Caenorhabditis elegans: one gene and its partners. The protein of the gene in region 2 interacts with the protein of the main gene of each other region in a pairwise test. Each region holds a gene or a part of one and is shown on either strand. Other genes may lie near its edges.

Evidence for each region.
Region 1: the proteins of gfi-1 (region 2) and toca-1 interact in a two-hybrid assay, tested with the Caenorhabditis elegans proteins (one large-scale study listed by BioGRID).
Region 3: the proteins of gfi-1 (region 2) and wrt-4 interact in a two-hybrid assay, tested with the Caenorhabditis elegans proteins (one large-scale study listed by BioGRID).

The regions. Positions count from the first base shown.
Region 1 is NC_003284.9:1,518,462-1,523,299, reverse strand, and holds the start of toca-1 (Transducer of Cdc42-dependent actin assembly protein 1 homolog), read left to right. Parts: upstream 1-1,812; 5' UTR 1,813-1,905; coding exon 1,906-1,938; intron 1,939-4,838. UniProt on the Caenorhabditis elegans protein: Plays a role in protein trafficking, actin organization and embryonic morphogenesis. Potentially acts as a cdc-42 effector. May play a role in hypodermal P-cell nuclear positioning.
Region 2 is NC_003283.11:6,393,910-6,401,932, forward strand, and holds the start of gfi-1 (ET module), read right to left. Parts: upstream 6,023-8,023; 5' UTR 6,013-6,022; coding exon 5,887-6,012; intron 5,838-5,886; coding exon 5,614-5,837; intron 5,036-5,613; coding exon 1-5,035. Other genes in the region: bcf-1 (bacterial colonization factor), read right to left, coding at 7,622-7,821, 7,908-8,023.
Region 3 is NC_003284.9:15,751,731-15,758,888, reverse strand, and holds wrt-4 (Warthog protein 4 N-product), read left to right. Parts: upstream 1-1,619; 5' UTR 1,620-1,624; coding exon 1,625-1,723; intron 1,724-2,604; coding exon 2,605-2,802; intron 2,803-2,958; coding exon 2,959-3,053; intron 3,054-3,765; coding exon 3,766-4,004; intron 4,005-4,091; coding exon 4,092-4,432; intron 4,433-5,522; coding exon 5,523-5,574; intron 5,575-5,618; coding exon 5,619-5,802; intron 5,803-5,849; coding exon 5,850-6,012; intron 6,013-6,070; coding exon 6,071-6,235; intron 6,236-6,283; coding exon 6,284-6,421; 3' UTR 6,422-6,632; downstream 6,633-7,158. Other genes in the region: bus-17 (Hexosyltransferase), read left to right, coding at 716-870; srxa-9 (Serpentine Receptor, class XA), read right to left, coding at 6,751-6,984, 7,038-7,158. UniProt on the Caenorhabditis elegans protein: Intercellular signal essential for a variety of patterning events during development.

The sequences.
Region 1 (4,838 bases), on a different chromosome or scaffold from region 2:
AATTTTACCCCCTTGTCACCGATTCTCAGTCCCAATGTCACCTTGTCTTAGGTGTACTACCTTTCATTACTAACTTCCGAATACATTTTCTTCGCCTCCTTTTCCCCATTCTTCTTTTTTTTCTACTCAACCTTCCGAGACACGACTACCTATGTGTTGTCGTCGATTTGGCGGGTCACTTGAACTTTTGCGTTTGGCCATGGAAAGATTGGCGAGGCAGGAGGGGGGACAAAAGGAGGCCTGTTTTGCATATTACCTTGAGAAACGTCGGGTACGACAAGCATAGCATTTTTTGGGTAGTTTTTTCTGAGAGTGATTGTAGGGCTTTTTTGGAAGTCCTTTGAAACCAGTATATATATATATATTTTAGTCAGCTTTAGGTTTTTTTTTTTTTTTTTCGGGCCAAGGCAGATGGTGAAGTTAAGGCTAAAATATATGTCAGGGCCAAAAAGTGGAGACCCAGAAAGTTGAGCCTTCAAAAACTAAGCCATTTAGGCTAACTTTTACTTTCTTTATTTAGGCATTTAGGCGGTTGAGCCCTTGAAAGCCGCATCTCCATTTTTTCCGCTCCTTGAGGTTAGGCTTATTTTAAAATCCTTGAGGTCAGGCTTATCATCCTTCAAAGTTTGAGACCAAGAAGGTTAAGCCCCGTAGTTGAAGGATAATTCTGAGCCCACGAACGCCAAGCCCCAAAGAAGCCCAAAGTAATGGCTGGGCACCTGAAGTCTAAGCCTTTAGGCTGCGCTCTTAGCTTAATGCCCTTCTTCAAAAACTGAGTCCCTCGGTACAGACTAAGCTTTTAGGTTACCCTTTAGCTTTTAGGCAAGCTCGGGCCTAATTTCAGGCTTAGCTTCAGACTCAAAATTACGAGATTTCCCTCAACGTAATTCGAAAAAAATTGATTAGACTAGGTATCTCGCGCCGTGCGTATTGTTGTAAACTCTTCATTTTTCGCTCATCAATATCTCCGAAAACCCCGGGACCCCGAGGTCTATCCTAGATAGCAAGATACGCAGACGCACACATGTGTATACATATGCTATTGGGCGAGAAATAGCGTCTCTTCTTTTTCTTCTTCTCTTGGGAGCTACTTTTCGAGGTCCGAGCTGCTGCAGCTCGAGCTGGGTGCTCGAGCTGACCGCGGACCCCACTTCTCGTGACCGCCTATCTTGTTTTTTTCTGTGTTGCTGTTCTCGGATAAATTTGGGATTGGAATGTTTCTTTGGGGTCTAGCCTGTTTCAACGGAAATAAGTGAAAAATTGTTTGCTGATTTTCTTAATTTTTTCACTATTTGCTGATGCTATTTTTGTAAATTCGGTAGCTGAAAATTTCTGGTACCTGGTAACCGTGAACTATACCATATGGAAAAGTTTGAAAATTGGAGGTTTTAGGCCATTTTCGGCTATTAAACTTTTTCCGATTTTTCGAATAATCTAGCACGTTTTAGCGAAATGTTTTTTTTTTGATTAAGCTTGATTTTTTCTATTAATTTCTCAATTTTGCAATAATTTTCTCCACCTTTTTTCAACCTCCCATAGCACTCCAAATACTCTGCTCTTCCACAAAAAATTTACCCCCCCCTCCTGAGCCCCCACAATTATACCTATGCTTCCTTCCGCCTCCCGGTGCCATGAGCACCAACCACAAATTGCTCTCCATTTTTGCTCCACGACACGCCCAACCGTCAACAGCTTAGATTACTGTTTTTGTTCCTATTTACGAACTAAAGTTTTCAATTTTTTTCTCCTTCTCGTTTGTTCGGATCTTTTTTGTGCTGCTCATTGCTGTTAACGTTTTGAGTTTTTTTTCAGACTTCAACTCGAAAAAGTTCCAATTAGTGTTCATAAAAAGAAGGAATCGAGATTGGATTGGATGGTAACAACCTTTTGAAGAAGCGGCGAACAATGAACGACAGTTGCAGTTGGGACCAGCTATGGGTAAGTTTTTATTGAATCCTTGGTAAAAACTAAAATTTAAAATAAGAAAACAGGCTACTAAAATGAAAAAACCGCGGGTCTAAAAAAATGGCCAAAATCACCAAATGTTGAGCTGAATTTTTTACGATTCTAAACCGTGAATCCTCCTTTTTTCCTAGTTCAACATTTCAAAAAATCTACTGATTAAAAGTATGTACATATGTGCCTAAAATTGTAATGTTATGCACTTCACACTGTGAAAAGGTTAGAAGGTTTCCACCAAAATGAGAAAAATGGCACGAAACTTCAGATTTTCAAAATTGGGCGCTGCTTCAAATTGCTGAACTTTTAAAAAATATGTCAAAGTTCCAAGATACCAGGATTATGCCTAATTTGGAAAAAATTGGAAATATAAAATTTTTCCAAATTCTGTTACAGCTCTAAAGCACCCACGCCACGAATTTCCAGAACCTAGAATTTTTCGAGACCGCCGCAGTTTCAAAACTCCAAAATTTGACGAAATTCCGGGCCCAACCACTTTAAGGATTATTTTCTGGGAATATGCAAAAATAGGGATTTCAATTGATATCATGGCAAGACGTCCGCAGGGTTTTGCGCCGCACTATATTTTATTTGCAATTGCCTGGGTGGGGCGCGAAACCCGTTAGATGTCGGACCATAATATCATTTGTATCGATATTGGGGTACTGATACTGGCATGATCACAGATGGGCGGTCCCGATACTTTTTGAAATTCGGTAAAATTCCGAAATTTCTAAAGTTCGGATGAATTTGAAATTTGGCGTTTGCCAACTTCTAGTGCAATTTTATAGTTTCGATGTGGAAAATCCTTGGATTTTTCTCAAATTTTTAATAAAATCTAATGATCCCCCCCCTCCCCCCCACCAAACATTTCTACTCGTTCCTACATACATTTTCGCATATCACATATACCTTCTCGTCTCCCGCATACATAATTTAGTAGTTGTAAGCAAGATCGGGGGGTGGCGGGCGATCACAAAGTAACGGCGGAAGCGGCTCACCCACCCTCCGAACACACTTGAATTAGTCATTTGTTGCTAATGTAGAGGTGGATACTAATAAGGAGTGGCGGGAGGTGTATAGAGAGAGTGAAAGAGAGAGAGAGAGAGAGAGAGAGAGACGCAGAATTAAAAAACAGGGTTACCTAGTGGGTTTGCTGGGCGCACGTTAGTATGTTTTGGTAAATGCGCTCTAATTTTAAAATTCAAAAATGGAGTGGAAATTTCTATAATATATTTTAAAAACATTTTTTTTTATTAAATTGGTCCGTTCACACTGATTATGCCTACTTTTTTAAGACGTTGTATTTTTAAAAATTGATTTCAAAAAAATTAATTTTCTACTCTCTCTCAAAAACTTCTCTTAAAAACTACAAAATCCGATTTTTTTTTCGCCAAAGTTTCTTATCAGTTTACAGAAAAATTGTGAACATTTCAGAAATGCCAGTATGACACATCTTTTTGAACATATCAGTTTGTGCTTGAATTTGATTCAGAAAAACAGCAAAATTTTTTTTCTTTCAAATTTTCCCAATACTTCAGCCAGTTTTTTGTCGTTTATAACAGTAATCTACCGCAGAGATACAAGCTTATAGAACTTAAAGCCGAGAGAGTGTGGGACGAGGGGAGAGTGCAGACTGTCTTCAATTTCTAGTGCTCAAAATTTGAGAGCATGTAACTTGAGAAATGAATTCTGAAAATTGGATTTTCTATCGATTTACTCTTTAAATTTTCAATTAGGGCTCCCATGTGGGTGCCGCAAACGCCGCCCTCACGCCGGGATCCGAAATCTTAATAGCAATGCGCGAAACCCAAAAAATGTCGGATCGCGGCGCCTACATGGGAGCCCTGGTTTTAATATAATAATGGTTCCGAACAGTTTTATTAATAAAATTGCACAAACTTTCTGATCGTCGGTTCTCCGCTCTTTCCTTATCGTTCACTTCTCGCCAATTTAATAGGCAAAAGCGGTAGTTGGGGAAGGGCGGAAAGCGCAAATAAACACAGCTTCACTCTCTTTTTCTCCCTTTTTCGGCACCAAAATCGTACTTTCTGTGATTGTATTTGTGTTTAGCAGGGAATTATCAATAAGATTAGAAGGTTTTTTAAAAAGAAAATTTTTTGTGGGGTCCCTGTAACCTTGGATGTAATTTTATAACATGGTGCATCGACTGAAAACTACACTAGCAATTTTTAAGTTTACGGTTGAAACTTGTCACTTTTACATACATATTAAGGGTTATCAGTATATTATTCATTCAAAATTTGTGCTAGTAAAGTGAAATTTTTTCTCTGTTTGAAAAAATATGATAAAATGCCAAAAAGAACGTCATTTCCTATGACAAATTTTGTCCGATGCACCATGTTCAAAAAATTTCTTTGGCTCTCACATATTTTTCAGGTTTTACCGCCAAACTTATCGGACTTTTCCAGTCGATGCACCATGTTCGGATTTATTTTTCTAGACAAAATTATTGCTGCTCCTTCAAAAAATATCGATTTTTTTACCTGATGCACCATGTTCAAGTTTTCTGAGAAAAATTTCTGTAATAGTCGAAAAGTTACCGAGAACATTTCAAAACGAAAATGTCATTCTGCTTCCGTTCCCCATTCCCCCCTACTTCTTCAGCCTTACTGTCAATCCATTTCAATTCTACAACCATTTTTCTTCATCTCCCCTCATTTTCCCTTCCTCCTCCCCCTTCTAACTTCTTCTTCTTCTTCTAGTCGCGTCGTCAATCGGTGTTGGGGTCGACAATTCATTGTATATGTAGATCACATTGCATTCGGATTGCGCCCTTCCGTCCTGGCGATAGTTTCTAGGACGCCGCGCCTTGGACACTCACCGCACCTTTTTTCTGCAAAGTTTGAGTTTTTGCT
Region 2 (8,023 bases):
TGGAGCACCGTATGTTTGGTTGTTGACAAGGAGTCCCTGGTAGCAAGCAGTTGGGAAATCTGGAAGAACTGCTGGTCCTGGTTTCACATTTGGATCCTTGAGGTTGCAGTTGTCCGCGTTGTTACAGCAGCAGGCAGTGACTTCTCTGTCACTCCAAAGTGGACGACAAGTATCCTTAATCTCAAGAGATTTGCAGATAGTATCAGCAACACAGTGATAAGTAGTGACATTGAAACCTCCGACGATTCCAGTCAATGAAGCGCATTGTCCGGAACAATAGGTCTCAGCTCCGAGGCTCAACGAATTGTAGGTAGATTGTAGACCAACGTAGCACTTGAGTGGGTTAGGAGTACGTGGTGGAGAAACAGTTGGGTCGAGGCAAGCATCGGTAGAACAGCAGCATCCGGAAAGTCCATTCTCAATGGTAGTACAATTGTTGTTCATTCCAAGTTGATAGCATGTGCTGACTGGATCGCAAGTGTAAATTGTAGCGTTGGTGAGAGCTCCATTGTACATGGTTGAGAGAGTAGCAGAAGCGCATTCTCCCTTACATGCTTGCCAACCAGCGATGGAAATTGGCATGTTATTGACGTAAAGACCAGAGAAGCAAGCGATTGGATAATCACGGAAGTTCGTAACTGGCATTGAAGTATTGATCTTTCCACCATATCCAGCCAAATCGACGTTGCAGTTGTTGTAGTTGTCGCAGCAGCATCCCGTAACTGTGGTATCATATGGAAGTGGTTTGCACTCGTCGTACATCTCGAGTTGTCTGCAGAATTGGGTTGGCACGCATCCGAAGATAGCAACTGGGTCTTGGTTGAGGGTAGCTTGAATTGAGGCGCACTTTCCTGGGCAGAAGATTTCAGATCCAGTGGCCTTTCCTTGAGCGTAGATTCCAGCGAAGCACTTGCGGAATCCAGATGGTACAGTCTTGTTCTTTGGTGGATCAAGGCAGAGATCAGTGTTACAGCAGCATCCGGAGACTCCTGGGATTGGGGAGGCACACCAGTTGTTCATGTTGAGAGATTGGCAAACAGTGCTTGGGTCGCATCCGTAAAGAGTTGCTGTGGTGGCAACTCCGTTGAGTGTAGTGTTCAATGAGATGGACGCACATTGTCCCTGGCAAGCTCCGAGAATGACTGGAGTAGATGGAACACCGTTGACATAAAGTCCAGTGTAGCAAGCAATAGCATAGTCGACTGAAGTTGGTGGTGGTGGTGGAGTGATGGTGGTATTGGCAATGTTACAGTTGTTGGCATTGTTACAGCAGCATCCAGTGACTTGGTTGTCATTCCAAACTGGTTTGCAGTTGTCGTAGAGTTCAAGGGAGTTACAGATCGAGTTTGGCATGCAGTGATAGGTGTTGACTTGGAATCCACCGACAACTCCTGAGAGGGATGAGCATTGTCCGTTACATGGAATTTGAGCTCCAACGTTAACTGCGCTTCCATTAACAATGTAGTTCGAGCTGATACCAGCATAGCACATAAGTTGGTTTCCTGGGTTACGAGCTGGATAGACTGTTGGATCAATACAGGCATTGGTGTTACAGCAGCAGCCGGTAATTCCGTTCTCAAGAGTGGAGCACTTGTTCAGAATTTTCAAATTACGGCAAACGCGGGATGGATCGCAGGTGTAAAGAGCAGCGGTTCCGGCTTGTCCATTGAATTGAGATGTGATGGATACTGAGACACACTCTCCTTGGCAAGTCTGCCATCCAGCCGAGCTGTAAGCGGTTCCGTTGATGAAAAGTCCGGAGTAGCAAGATATTGGAGCATCATTGAGTGGAGTGAGTGGAATGGTGGTGTTGATCACGTTGGCAAGATGGGTCTGTCGAACGTTGCAGTTATCAGCATTGTCACAGCAGCAAGCTCGGAATTCTGGGTAGTATGGCTCCATGCGGGCGCAGGAATCGTAGAGCTCGAGGGAACGGCATAGAGAGTGTGGAACACAAGCGAAGAGGGTCACGTTGTCATTGGCAATGCGAGCGTTAACCGAGGCACACTTGCCGTCACAGAGTTGTTCAGCTCCGGTTTGAAGTGATGGCACGCTGGTAGAATAGAGCCCGACGTAGCACTTGAGTGGTGGAGTTGGAACGGTCTTTCCTCTGTTCGGATCGAGGCAAGCATCACTGTCGCAGCAGCAAGCGGTGACTCCAGCTTCTGGGGAAGTACAGTTGTTATGAACTTTAAGTTGGTAGCAGACAGACGATGGATCACAAGTGTAGAAGGAAGCCGTGTGCAAAGTTCCGTTGATCGTAGCATTGATGCTGACAGAGGCACATTCACCGAAGCAAACGGAGAATTCCATTGGAGTTTGGTTGAATCCGTCAACGATAAGACCAGCTGGGCAGGTGATTGGATATTCAACACGTGGACGTCTTCTTCCGGGATTGTTGATTGGAGGTCTTGGAACAACTTGATTCAAGTTGCAGTTAGGTCCATTGGTACAACAACATCCAGTGATATCTCTATCATACCAGAGTGTGCGGCAGCTGTCATAGACGTACAAGCTGTTACAGACGTATGTTGGGACACAAGCGTAAACAGTGACGTTAGCGTTGGCAAGTGTTGAAGTAACAGATGCGCAGTTTCCTTCGCAGTATTGTTCTCCTCCGGCATTGAAGATGGTATTTCCCTTCAAATCATAGGAGTAAGCTCCGACGTAACAGAGGTTTCCATCTCCATATGGTTTACGTGGTGGGGTGGATGTTGGATCGAGGCAAGCATCGCTGTCACAGCAGCAAGTCTCGAATCCTTGTTCTTGTTGGTGGCATCTGTTTGTTGAGTTCATCATTCTGCAGATGTAAGATGGGTCACACGTGTAAAGAGAAGCAGTGGTAGCAACTCCGTTGTATGTGGTGTTCAAGTTGACAGCAACACAATCTCCCTTGCAAGCAGTCCATCCTCCGTCAGAGATTTGGCTTCCTCCAATGAAAATTCCAGAATAGCAAGCGCGTGGCATCTCATTTGGTGCAAGTGGTGGAATGGTGACGTTGAATCCAGACGTAGCAACGTTGCAGTTGTCGAAGACATCACAGCAGTACGCGTTGACGAATCTGTCCAAGTAGAAAGTGTTGTTCGAGTTGTCAAGTCCAAGGGAACGGCACATAGATCTTGGAGCGCAATGGAAGGCGGTGACATAGTCGGATCCGACAACAGCGGAAACGGTGGCACAATATCCGTCGCAAAGAACTTCAGCTCCTGCGATGTTTCCCTTGTGCTGGGTGCTGATACCGACGTAGCATTTGAGAGCTTTTCCTGGAACACGGTTGTAGGTTGGATCAATACACTCATTGGAGTCACAGCAGCAAGCAGTGAGAGAGTTGTCAATGGTGGAGCAGTTGTTACGAAGTCCCATCGCGGCACAGGCACTGCTTGGATCGCAGGTGTAGAGAGTAGCGTAGTGAGAGTTGTTATTGACGGTTCCTCCAAGGGAAACAGACACACATTCTCCGTCGCACATGCGGTAGTAAGGCTGGCTGATGTTTTGTCCGTTGAGATGGATTCCTTCGTAGCAGACAATTCTTGGGTCACGACGAGCTGGGATGGCAGTGACGTTGACTCCAGCTGGGGCAAGACAGTTGTCAGTTTCTGAGCAGCAGCATCCAGTGACTTGTGGGTCAGCTCCTGGGATTTGTCCACAGTTTCCGTAAGATCCTCCGAATCCGAGTCCGAAGTAGCGGCACATTCCAACTGGGGCGCAGTAGTAGACAGTTGCGTTCTTTCCGTTGACAACAGAGTTCAAGGATCCGCACCATCCATCACAGAATTGGTCTCCTCCAGTGTTGTATTTGTCTTGTGGAATAGAAACTCCAGAATAGCAACGAAGTTGTGGGCGTTGAGATCCTCTGTTTGGATCAATGCAAAGATCATTGTCGCAACAGCAAGCATTGACTCCTCCAAGAACGCTTCCGCAAGAGTTGGAGATTCCGGCTTGTTGGCACATTGTGACTGGATCGCAAGTGTAGATGGTAGCATTGTGAACTTGGTTGGCGAAGGTGGTGGTGAAGCTAGCTGAAGCACACTCTCCTTGGCAGAGTCCGTAAGCAGAGTTGGTGATGGAAACTCCGTTAACCCAGATTCCTCCGTAGCAGAGAACTGGATACTTGGCGGTAGACACAGCAGAGTTATTCACACGTCCGAGAATGTATGGATTGTTAACGTTGCAGTTGTTGCTAGCAGAGCAGCAGTACACCTCAAGTTCCTCGTCTTGTGGTGGATTGTAGGTTTGTCCTTCAGTGGAAGCAAGTCCGAATCCAGCGCAGACATCGTATGGCATGCAAGTGAAGTATGAAACTTGTTGTCCGTTGGCATTGAACCTGACACGTCCACATCGTCCTTGGCAGTTCATTTCAGCTCCGAGCCAGGTTGTTCCATTGTAAAGTCCGACAGCGCATCTGAGCTGCTTGACTGGGTAGACTGGTGGAACAACAGTTGGGTCAATACATTTGTCCATGCTGTTGCAGGCACAGCCGGTGATGAGAGCGGTTGGGACTCCATTGATGTTTTGGGTGTCAAGGTTCATGCATCCGCTGTCGAGGTTCAAAGCAGTGAAGACGTTGACTGGGTCGCAAACGAAGATCTCTCCCCATACATTGGCTCCATTGTAAGTGGTACGAATACGAGCAGATCCGCATTCTCCCAAGCATTGAGAGAAGGATCCTCCATACAAGAGAGCTCCGTTGACGGAAATTCCTTGATAGCATGTCTGGTTGTTCTTGTTCCATGGAGATGGAGTTGGTGGGTTGTTCATTGGAGCGAGGCTAGTACAATCTTGCTTGTAACAGCAGCATCCTTGAATGTTGGTTCCAGCGAGATTGGTGCAGGCGATTGGATTATTTGGGTCAATATTTGGGAAGATGCCGTCGCAAAGTCCTTGTGGCATGCAAGCGTAGGCAGCAGCGTCGTATCCGTTGTAGACTCCAGAAACACTGGTACATACATTTCCTGCGGAGCAAGTGACGGTGTCCCCTGATCCGAATCCTGGAGTAGTGTTGTTGGCATAGAATCCGACGTAGCAGAGGATATTGCTGCAAACACACAAAATCAGTATTTTACTATTTTTCTTTGATTTTCCTCCTAGGAAAATTTTGGCGATCGCCAAAAATATACTACATATGTATCAGTTTCTTATCACACGATTGGTATTTCGGAATTTAAATGCCGAGGAGCTATCGAGCCACATTTCATGGTTGTGTTGCATGCGCTATTGGCACAATCAGATAAGAAGCGCGCCCAAATGTAAAACAATTATTCCATTATTGTTATCAGTTTGACGTTGACTGTAGTCACAAATTGAAATTGGATTAAATATAGCAAAATAAAGCTTTGGAATTTTGGACTGGTTTTTGCAGTTTTCAAATTACAATATTTTATGAGAGTTTTTTTTTTAAATCAACGAATTTGAAGGTACACATTCTCAAATTGCATTTGCTTGAAAAAGTGTTAATGAAACACTCAAGATGAAAAATTGTTGTTTTGGTACTCATACAGATCTTTTAATCCAATAATTGAATGAATTGGTCCATTTTTTTTTGAAAAAGAAAGAAAGAAGATATACACCTCAATTCCTATCAGTTGTCAAAAAAACAGTGATAACAAAACTCACTTTGGGGCATTAATAACTTCGATTGGCTTTGGAATATTTTCTTCCAAGTCGACCTTGTTACACAACTCATCCTCGCAGAAGCATGATGTCTCAAGCTCACTGCTGGAGCAATCCTGTCCTTTGTTAATGAAAGCCATGAGCTTGTTCTCTTCGCATGTCAAGAGAACAAGTCCTCCGCTTGGAGATTTGACAGTTTGTTTTCTGCACAATCCTTCGCATTCTCTCTGAAGTAGTCAAATGGAAAAATATAGAATTTATATCGGTTGGACGTACCAATTCAACAGACTTTGATGTAATAACATTTTCCGATACAATTAGATTTCCGACTAAGCAGTTTTGTTTAGCACTAGCGAAACTACAACAGCCGGCAAGTGCCAGCAGGAAAATGCCCAAGCGCATCTGAAATTTGAATGTGTTAGTGGCAAATTAAATATTCAATTTCAACAAATGAAGAATAGGAAAATGATTGTTAAAACATGAGTGCGACTTCTCCGAGCGGAAAGAAGAAATTGAGTACCTGACTAATGTAAATTGAGTGAATTAAGCCTCTTATAATGTCAAAATTGTCGAAATTGGTTCATAATCGGCAATCGGTCCTTGTTAACTGTAGTTTCGATAAAACACAAAGTGGGTGGATTCTCAGAACCTTGAAGGCGAAACTTGTGAAGCAGAATACAAAATTATTGACTTCAGCTGCAAAAGAAACAAACAAAGAAAAAGAGCTTCAAAAAGGCATTTGGAGCAGGAAATTTGGTTTTATTGCACATTTTTGCGTCAATTCGTTGATTCAAAGGTGGTCTTGTGGGTTTATTGTCTCGAACTACAGTACTCGGTCATATTAGTAAGAATATGAAAGGGAAAGTACAGACAAGAGAAAGTGCGAGAAAACTTGACTGAAAAACTCAAAAAAGCCCACAGGGATGCGGAATTTGTTTTCAGATTTTTTTAACCATAAATACTGTGAAACTACGATGTAAGTAATAATTTGGTTATTTTATCTAAATTTTAAGAATTTTCCCGCTGGGGCTATTCGATTTTTAGCTTCTATCTAGTTGAGTACAGTATGCCAGTTTGAGCAGTTTGTGGGAAAAATACACCCATTTCCATAAAATCAGGTAATTTCAGAAACGCTTACTGACATTCCAAAACTACACCACTTATTGTTTTGTTTACCTTTTGCCACATCTCACTCGTTTGTTATCAGCACTGATCATAAAACACGGAAATTCGAAAGGAAATTTCAATATCAAAAAATCAAAATTCAATTTAATTATTTCTTTCTTTGAGAGCCTTGAATCTAAAAATTTTATAATGTATCTGAAACAACATTGATCGATATTTTAAAATTCCATGCTGGAAAAATTGGGTTTCATAGTGCGCACTGTGGTAATTTTAGTGCCAGTGTAATATTGACAACAGATCAACAAAAAAACTTAGTTAGCCAAATATCAGTTAAAAACACTACAATTCTTGTTTAATTTCAAGTTGTTTTCTTTGGGTTAAAGGTAGTCTAAAGGTGGCCTAAAGGTGGGTTTATTGTTTCAAACTGTAGTATTCCATCATATTAGTAAGGAAATTGCGAAAAAAAACGAAGTACGAGAAATTTTGACCGATGCCTTCTCCCGATCTTCCTTTAGCAATTTTCGAATAATTTTTTGTTTAATTTAAAAAAATCCACGGTTATACAGCTGAAATTTGAATTAATTGAAAATTGAAAACTGTGGCAACCATTAAACGCGCTCAATACCAATATGTATTAGTTGTTGCTAAAACGGAAGACCGACAAAATATGATATGTGATAGGCCACCTTTAATGGAGTGGCAATGCTTTTGTTTTGAATATTATTTTGTGTCGAGAAATAATTTTATTGTAAAGATCGCTCAACAATTAAGATTTAGAATCTTCAAAGAAAAGGAGAAAATTAAAAAAAAAGAACAAACAAAAAGTTATGCGCGAAAAGAGCACATATGTACATGAAAGAAATGAGAAAAATTATCTAAAGCTGGCCTAATGTCTAGTCAGAGCGATATACACAGCAGCGAAAAGTGCAAGAATTGAGAAGGTGATGGAAGATGAGCCCTTTGTGGTTGTGGCTGGTGATTGTGTGGTTACAATTCCTGGGCCATTGTTTGGACCAACGCAGTTATTAGTGCTACAACAGCATCCGGAGAGTCCGCCGTCAATAGAAGCACACGAGTTGGTCAAGTCTAGAATTGATTAATTTTGAATTTCGAAGAATAAATAATGGCCAGCTATGAAATATATTGGCTATACATTAAAAAAAAAAACTTACTCAAGGAGGTACAGACAGTAACTGGATCACAGGTGTAAAGTGTGAGTGTCTGGTTTCCACCATTGTATGGTGCAGTGTAAGAAATTGAGGCGCACGATCCAGCGCAAGCACTGTAA
Region 3 (7,158 bases), on a different chromosome or scaffold from region 2:
TATCTCACAGACAGTGCCACTTAGCAAAATTTAACGCTTTTAAAAATAAACAAGGAAGAAAAAAGAAACCCAGAAGCTAGTTTTTTCGAAATTTATAATTTCATCATGTATTCCCAGAATCTTTCTCAAGCTTTGCATACGGAACTAAAATTCAAAGCGAGTTTCCATTGATAAGAAAACCTTGTTTATATTAACAGGAAAGCCAGGATGTTGCAAAATATCAGATTCAACTTGCAAACAATTATATTTTGTAATACTGTTGTGGTCATTGTGGTTTGTGGTTAAATCAGCAAGCATCAAAATGTCAAAAAAATAGCCAAACTGTTGAATAAAACTTATTGAAAAATATTTTAAATAGATTACGGCTTAAAATTTAGATACAGTGAAGCACTTCGAAGCTTGTTAATTTTGGCCTGTAAACAGTCCGTAAAATTTGTTTCAAAGTGGATTTTTTTGATAGTTTAATAGGTTTAAATCTGAAAAGACACACTGGAAGACTTTAAAATATTTTGGAAAGATAAACTTGAAAAAAATTGACTTTTTCAAAGAAATAGAATTTTTCAAGAACATTCAAAGTTGCCAAAATTCTGCAAAAATTGGCTCGCTGTTAAAAATTTTTTAAAGCAATCTATTCTGAACAAGTTTCTCCAAATGATATTTGAAATTTTTTATCGCTAGTTTTCTTGTTTATTTTTTTTAGCTAGTTTTCTTACAGGCGTTTTGTCGAATTGCGTCGGACTTGGTCTCATCCATAACGAAGGATTCGACAAGCACTCATTTGACGACTTTGTTGTTTATCATTATCAGTATTCGAGGCACTCGGCGAAATATTTGGAATCGCTATGGCAAAACTCTAAAATGATATTGTGAAGTCCTCTTGTTTCACCAATTTTTTCTACTTTTTTGTCACGTGTCATCCAGCCATATGTTCTTTTTCTCTCAATTATTTTGAATTTCTGCGAATCTTTTTTAAAACTCGCTTTAAATTTTGTTTCTTTATTGTCTTCATGTTTCCGACGTCTCATATGTTCCAAAATATTTTATGTCCATAATATAACAAATGAATCCACATCAGGTTATATCAGTCACCGCGGTTCTTAATTTTGTTCTTCTATAACGAGTGTGTGAATAATTATATCGTATAAATCAGATATAGGCAGTTTGCAAAAAAACATAGTCGCTGACCAGCTTTTTGTAGGATATTAGATAAGCTCTTTCAAAAGTTTGGCGGAAAAATAAAATGAAAAGCAAAGTAGATCCTTATATCGTATAAATCAGACGTAGGCGGTTCGAAAAAAAAACATAATCGCTGGCCAGTTTTTTGTAGGATATGGTACTTTTTTTTCCAAAACCTTGCCGGACAGAGAAAATAAGAAGCAAAGTAGATGCTAGGATGATCCAAGAAGGTAGGCGTTTTGATAAACGATGGCCAGGTAGTCCCGCCCATTTTGATAAGAAATCGCTTGGATATTTAAACTGGATGCTTCACCACTTAATTTCATTCTAATTCATAAGTTTTTTCTTTTTTTTTCTCCACTTCTTTAATATTTTTTGAAAGATCATTTTCTTGCCACTTCTACAATTATCTATTCTAATATTATAGTCTTGAATTTGTTCAGATACAATGAGGTTTTCTTTACTTGCACTAGTTTTGTTGTCTTCTAGCTATAAATTCACATATGGATCGGAGTGCGGAGATTCAACAATTCCATATAGTTTAGAGGTAAGAGAAAAAGAAATGTAATAAAAATAATCAAAGCTTTTACAAAAACACCCGCTAAATGTTATTTTGGCCTAAACTACATAGAAAAACAGAGTACGGGTTCTAGGTTTATTTCTCTAATACTATTTTTAGCTAAAGTTAGCCGTTTTTTTTTTTGAAATTTTGGTACTATTGTAGTATACCATTTATTTATTTCAAAAAATGATAAATAATATAAAACTAACTTGCACTTTCAAGCTTCAAAAAACATTAATCCTGAGCCTAATATGGACAAAAAGGGTTACGGATGTTCACTTTAAAAAATGGCGTATATTTTTAGTCCAGGTATACTTCACAAGTACCCAAGTAATTTTATAAGTAGTTGACAGTACAGTTCAAGTACAGTACAGTACAAGTACAAGTAATTTGAACCAATATGAAACATTTTTGCATATTTTTCATTAAATAGTGTACTACGCCTAATGTCACAAACGCGACTCAATTTACAAAGCTTAGAGTTATATAATGAAACGTGTGTATGAAGTGTTAATTGTGATTCATAATTATTAATCACTTGTAGTAAAATGAATTAAATTATCCCTTATTATTATAAGATATTCATTATAGAAAGTTTATCACCATAGTAGTACTTAAATTTAACGTGATACCCATTTAACTTGTTAGGCTGAGGAATGGCGTTTTCCTAAGCCTGAATTTTCACACGTTTTTTTTATAGGTTAAAACATTAATTTTTAAAATGGCGGGGTATAATACACACCATACCGATTTTGACATTTTTAAAACTTATAAAACATTCAACTTTCTGCAATCGTTTACACATAATAGTTATAAACATTCCGCCAAAGCATACTTAACATGACAAATTACCCTACTTATTCTAGGTGCTTTCATCTGGTCAACCGATTCTCGGATGCGCAAGACCAACTTGTTTTGGATGGCATTCAAATGGCCACCAACTTCCAACCAACGCCAAATTCTTCCGAATCGATCAACAATCGGACGGCTTCCTACGTGATGATCCTTTGGCTATTCATACATTTGATGCGGCCGACCCGAGAGTTTACGCGCAGCAGCAAGCAGTGAGTGATAGAGAATGAAAGGGAAAAGCTAATTGAAAAATGATGAGAAAATGAATGAAACATCATAGCAGGTTTTTATGACCCATATGTAGAATCAAAGAAAAAAGGAGATCAGTAAAAAGATGAAAAAGTTATTTTATTAATGAAATATTTCAGAGCTGTGAACAAGAATTCCAATCATTATCATGCAACCCAGAGGACCAATGGGTTGGAGGAATTGCACCAGTCATGAATGCATCTACCACCAAAATGTAAGCACTAGACCAGACTTAAAGGTGGAGTAGCGCCAGTGGGGAAATTGTTAAAAACCACTCCTTTGGTCCCAAAATGACCAAATATCATGATAAAACTTTTCAAAAAATTGGGCAGATAGCTCAGTCGGTAGTGGTGGCCGCTAGCAGTCTGGAGGTCACGAGTTCAAGTCCGGCCTCACCCCTAGGTTCACCCAGCCTCTATTGGGAAGTGGAGCAATCCACGACTGGATTATCGGCCACAGTCCCCGGCTAGGACGTGGCTTAAATTACAGCCCAGAAAGATCACCACCAGGCAGTGTACCTGAATCCCAGGTCCGCAGTGCATAGCACTTGAAGAACGGATCGTCCTTTAATCCTTTGATTTAACTGTCAACAAGTGGCAATTACTCATAATTTTGGAAGTAGACTAAAAAACAAATTTTTTTCGACATGTTTTATGTTTTAATTTTGTTCAAATTATTTGTATTAAAACATTGTAGGGGTCAAAAAATACCGTATTTCTTCAAATTTTCTCAAAAGCTCGTATTTTTCAAAATTTTGGCAATTTTCCAAAACTTTGACCAGAAATTATGAAAAATCTAAAAATTTTTGGAGTTTTTTATTATGATATTAGGTTGTTTTGGATCATTATAAGTGCCTTTAGACAAAATCCCCACTGGCGCTACTCCACCTTTAAGTTCTGAAAATTTTGCAACCTATTTCGCTTCAGTGTTGCCTACAAGTGCTGCACCTACGCTCCATTGCGTGCATCGATAGATCGAGGCGTGGCAACTGTGTCTGGCGGACAAATTGTTGTTGGAGGAGAGATATTCGCAGATAATAAGCCTTATGCATTCGACTATATTAGCAATGTAGAGAAGAAGATTGATTCCGAAGGAGAAATCTTTTACGAAGTTAATATTAAAAGATTCTCATGCTTGGATCTTCAGAAAGTTGATCGATCAGTCCGTAAGTAATATTGGGGTGAAACAAAACAACAGAATTGTAGTCAAAACGAAAAAATTGACTTGTTTTAAAAAACACTCTAAATTTCAGCTGAAATCTTAAACTCTGAGAACACGATTCGCCACGTCAACGGGCATCGATTTGTCGTTCACCAAGCTCCAACTGTAGATGTGGAGACCCCAGTTGAGACTGGACAGCTTGTGGTCCCACAAGGTGTTCAGAATGGACAAGAAGTGATTATTGAGGAAATTGTCGCTCAAGAAGGATTTGTTCAAGAAACAAACCCTCAACCACCACCACCACCAGGACAGCAAGGAGGATTTGTTCAACCACAAGGTTTCCAGCCACAGGGGGGATTCCAGCCACAAGGATTTCAGCCGCAGGGATTCCAGCCACAGGCATTCCAACCTCAAGTGGTCCAAAATCCAGTGGTAAGAAAAGCATACTGTTTTTTTTTGGATAACTAGCTTTCCATTTTTATTTTTCAGTTCTGTTAATTTAATAATCTAATTAATTAAATAACTTAATAATTTATTAATTTCATTTATACTTCTTAATATTAAAGGTGGAGTAGCGCCAGTGGGGAAAATGTAAAAACTATCAAAATGACCGAATATCATAATAAACCTTTTAAAATTTTTTAAAAAATGTTTTATCTATTGCCAAAAGGTAACAATTACTCAGCTTTTCCCACTCGGAATTTTGGAAGTCGACCAAAAAATAATTTTTTCCCCTACATTTTTCTATACTCTAATTTTGTTTTAATTATTTGTATTAAAACATTGTAGGGGTCGGACTTGCGACATTGCTTTGTATTTCCTGAAAAGCTCATATTTTCCAAAATTCTGGCATTTGTCAAGTCCTTGACAGGAAATTATGAAAAATCTGAAAATTATTTTTTGGTCGTTTTGGATCATTATAAGTGTAATCATACAATTCCACTCTTAAAGGTGAAGTAGCGCCAGTGGGGATTTTGTCTAAATCCACTTATAATGATCCAAAACAACCAAATGTCATAATAAAACACTCCAAAAAATTTTTCATAATTTCCGGTCAAAGTGTTGGCAAATTGTCAACATTTTGAAAAATACGAGCTTTAGAGCAAATTTAAAGAAATGTTGCATGCTTCGACCCCTACAATGTTTCAATACAATGAATTCAAACAAAATTAGAACATGAAAAAGTCGAAAAAAATTTTTTTTTCCGGTCGACTTCCAAAATTATGAGTGGAAAAACTGAGTAATTGCCACTTTTTGACATTAAATTAAAAATTTTCAAAAATGTTTTGAAATGTTTTATCATGATATTTGGTCATTTTAGGACCAAAGGAGTGGTTTTTAACAATTTCCCCACTGGCGCTAATCCACCTTTAATATTTAAAAAATTGTGTTACAATAAAATAAGTTCATGAATTGTATTATTATCACCCTTCGCTCTCTCATTCCATTAACCAATATAATCAGCAAACTATTTTTTTCATAATTAATATAATAATTTTCCGAACTTCATTTATTTTTCCAGCCTGCTGCACCAGCTGGATATGCTCCAATGGGATTCGCACCTTCTGGATTACGTAAGTTTTTACACCTTAATAATAATTCCCAACCCACATTTCAGAATTGTATTATTGCTTCCCTGGAGACGCTATGGTCAATGTTTATAATGGAGGATTCAAACGTATGGATGAGCTCGCAGTGGGAGACTGGGTTCAGGCTCTCGACAAGAATGGCTCTCAAGTAACATTTATCCCGGTTCAATACTGGCTTCATCGTGATCCAAAACAAGTTGCAGATTTTGTAGAGTAATACCTTTGGTTTGAGCATTCCGTTTTAACAATACAAATTACAGATTCACACTTGACAACGGAGAGACATTCTCATTGACCGAGAAGCATTTGGTCTTTGTAACTCAATGTTCTGTGCCCTATTCTGAGGATGAGAATATAAATGCAAACCCAGTACCAGCTGAGAGAGTAAACATTGGAGACTGTTTCTACATTGCACACCGCAAGGTAATATCAGATTTTCGATATATGAAAACATTTTGTAACTGAACAGCAAAATTTTCAGAAGTCCCAAATGTATCAACGCGTAAAAGTTCTTGACATCAATATTGTGCAAAAAACTGGAATCTACTCGCCAATGACGTCACGTGGCCATCTCCTGGTAGACCGTATTCATGCATCTTGCCACTCCGAAACCGACAATTACAGCCTTCAAAACACTTTCTTCACTGTTAGTAGAGTTCCCTATTTTACGGTAAATTTCAAATTACTATTACAGAATGTTCTCCGATGGAAGTCACAAATCCGCAACTACTTCTGGACTGTTGAGGATAGCACAAATGAGGATAACATTGGTTACGGTCTTAACGGAGTTATGGCTGTGTTGGATATTGTAATTCCATCAAAGTTGATGTAGATCCTATTAATAATTGTGGACAGAACCGTTGTACAAAATCCTCTATCAAAAATCTCAAATAGGTCAACCAATTTCACACTTTTTCATTCATTTTTTACAATTCAATTGTTGCCTAATTAATTAATTAATTAATTATTTATTTACTTCCAACATCTATGACATTTTGTTTGTTTCAGTTACATTGATTCAATAAACATTTTGTTAGCTCAAAAATTACGACGTTCAATTTTATTTAGTCATTGCAATTTTTTAAAACAGTACAAAACAAGCATCTCAATTCAGTTAAAGACATGATAATTTCTATAAAAATTATGAGTTTTTATACTTGCTTAAGAATGTGGGTTTATGACGGCCCTCGTCTGTTGTTTTGCACCAACTGGTACAACTGTTTGATTCGCTGCTGACGCAAAGTTTGATCCATCGAATTTCAAAAATCGTTTAAGCATTCGACGCGTGCTTCCGGTTTCCAAATAGTAAACGAAAAAAGTCATGGGTGGAATTGACTCGTAGCGGATGTAAAAATAACTTTTATGCACCAAATCCGGAAGGCCTGCGTAGAATGTCTGCAAAAATGATAATATTTTTTTAAACTCATGTTTTAAATTAAACGTGTTACCGGAAAAACTCTGATTAATAATGCTCCTAGTTCATAAATTGAGAGGTAGACCGCCACTGAAACGGTTTGCCGCATCATGATGAGATCACGCCTGGCTTGAAGTTTTGAAAGAGTTGTGTTT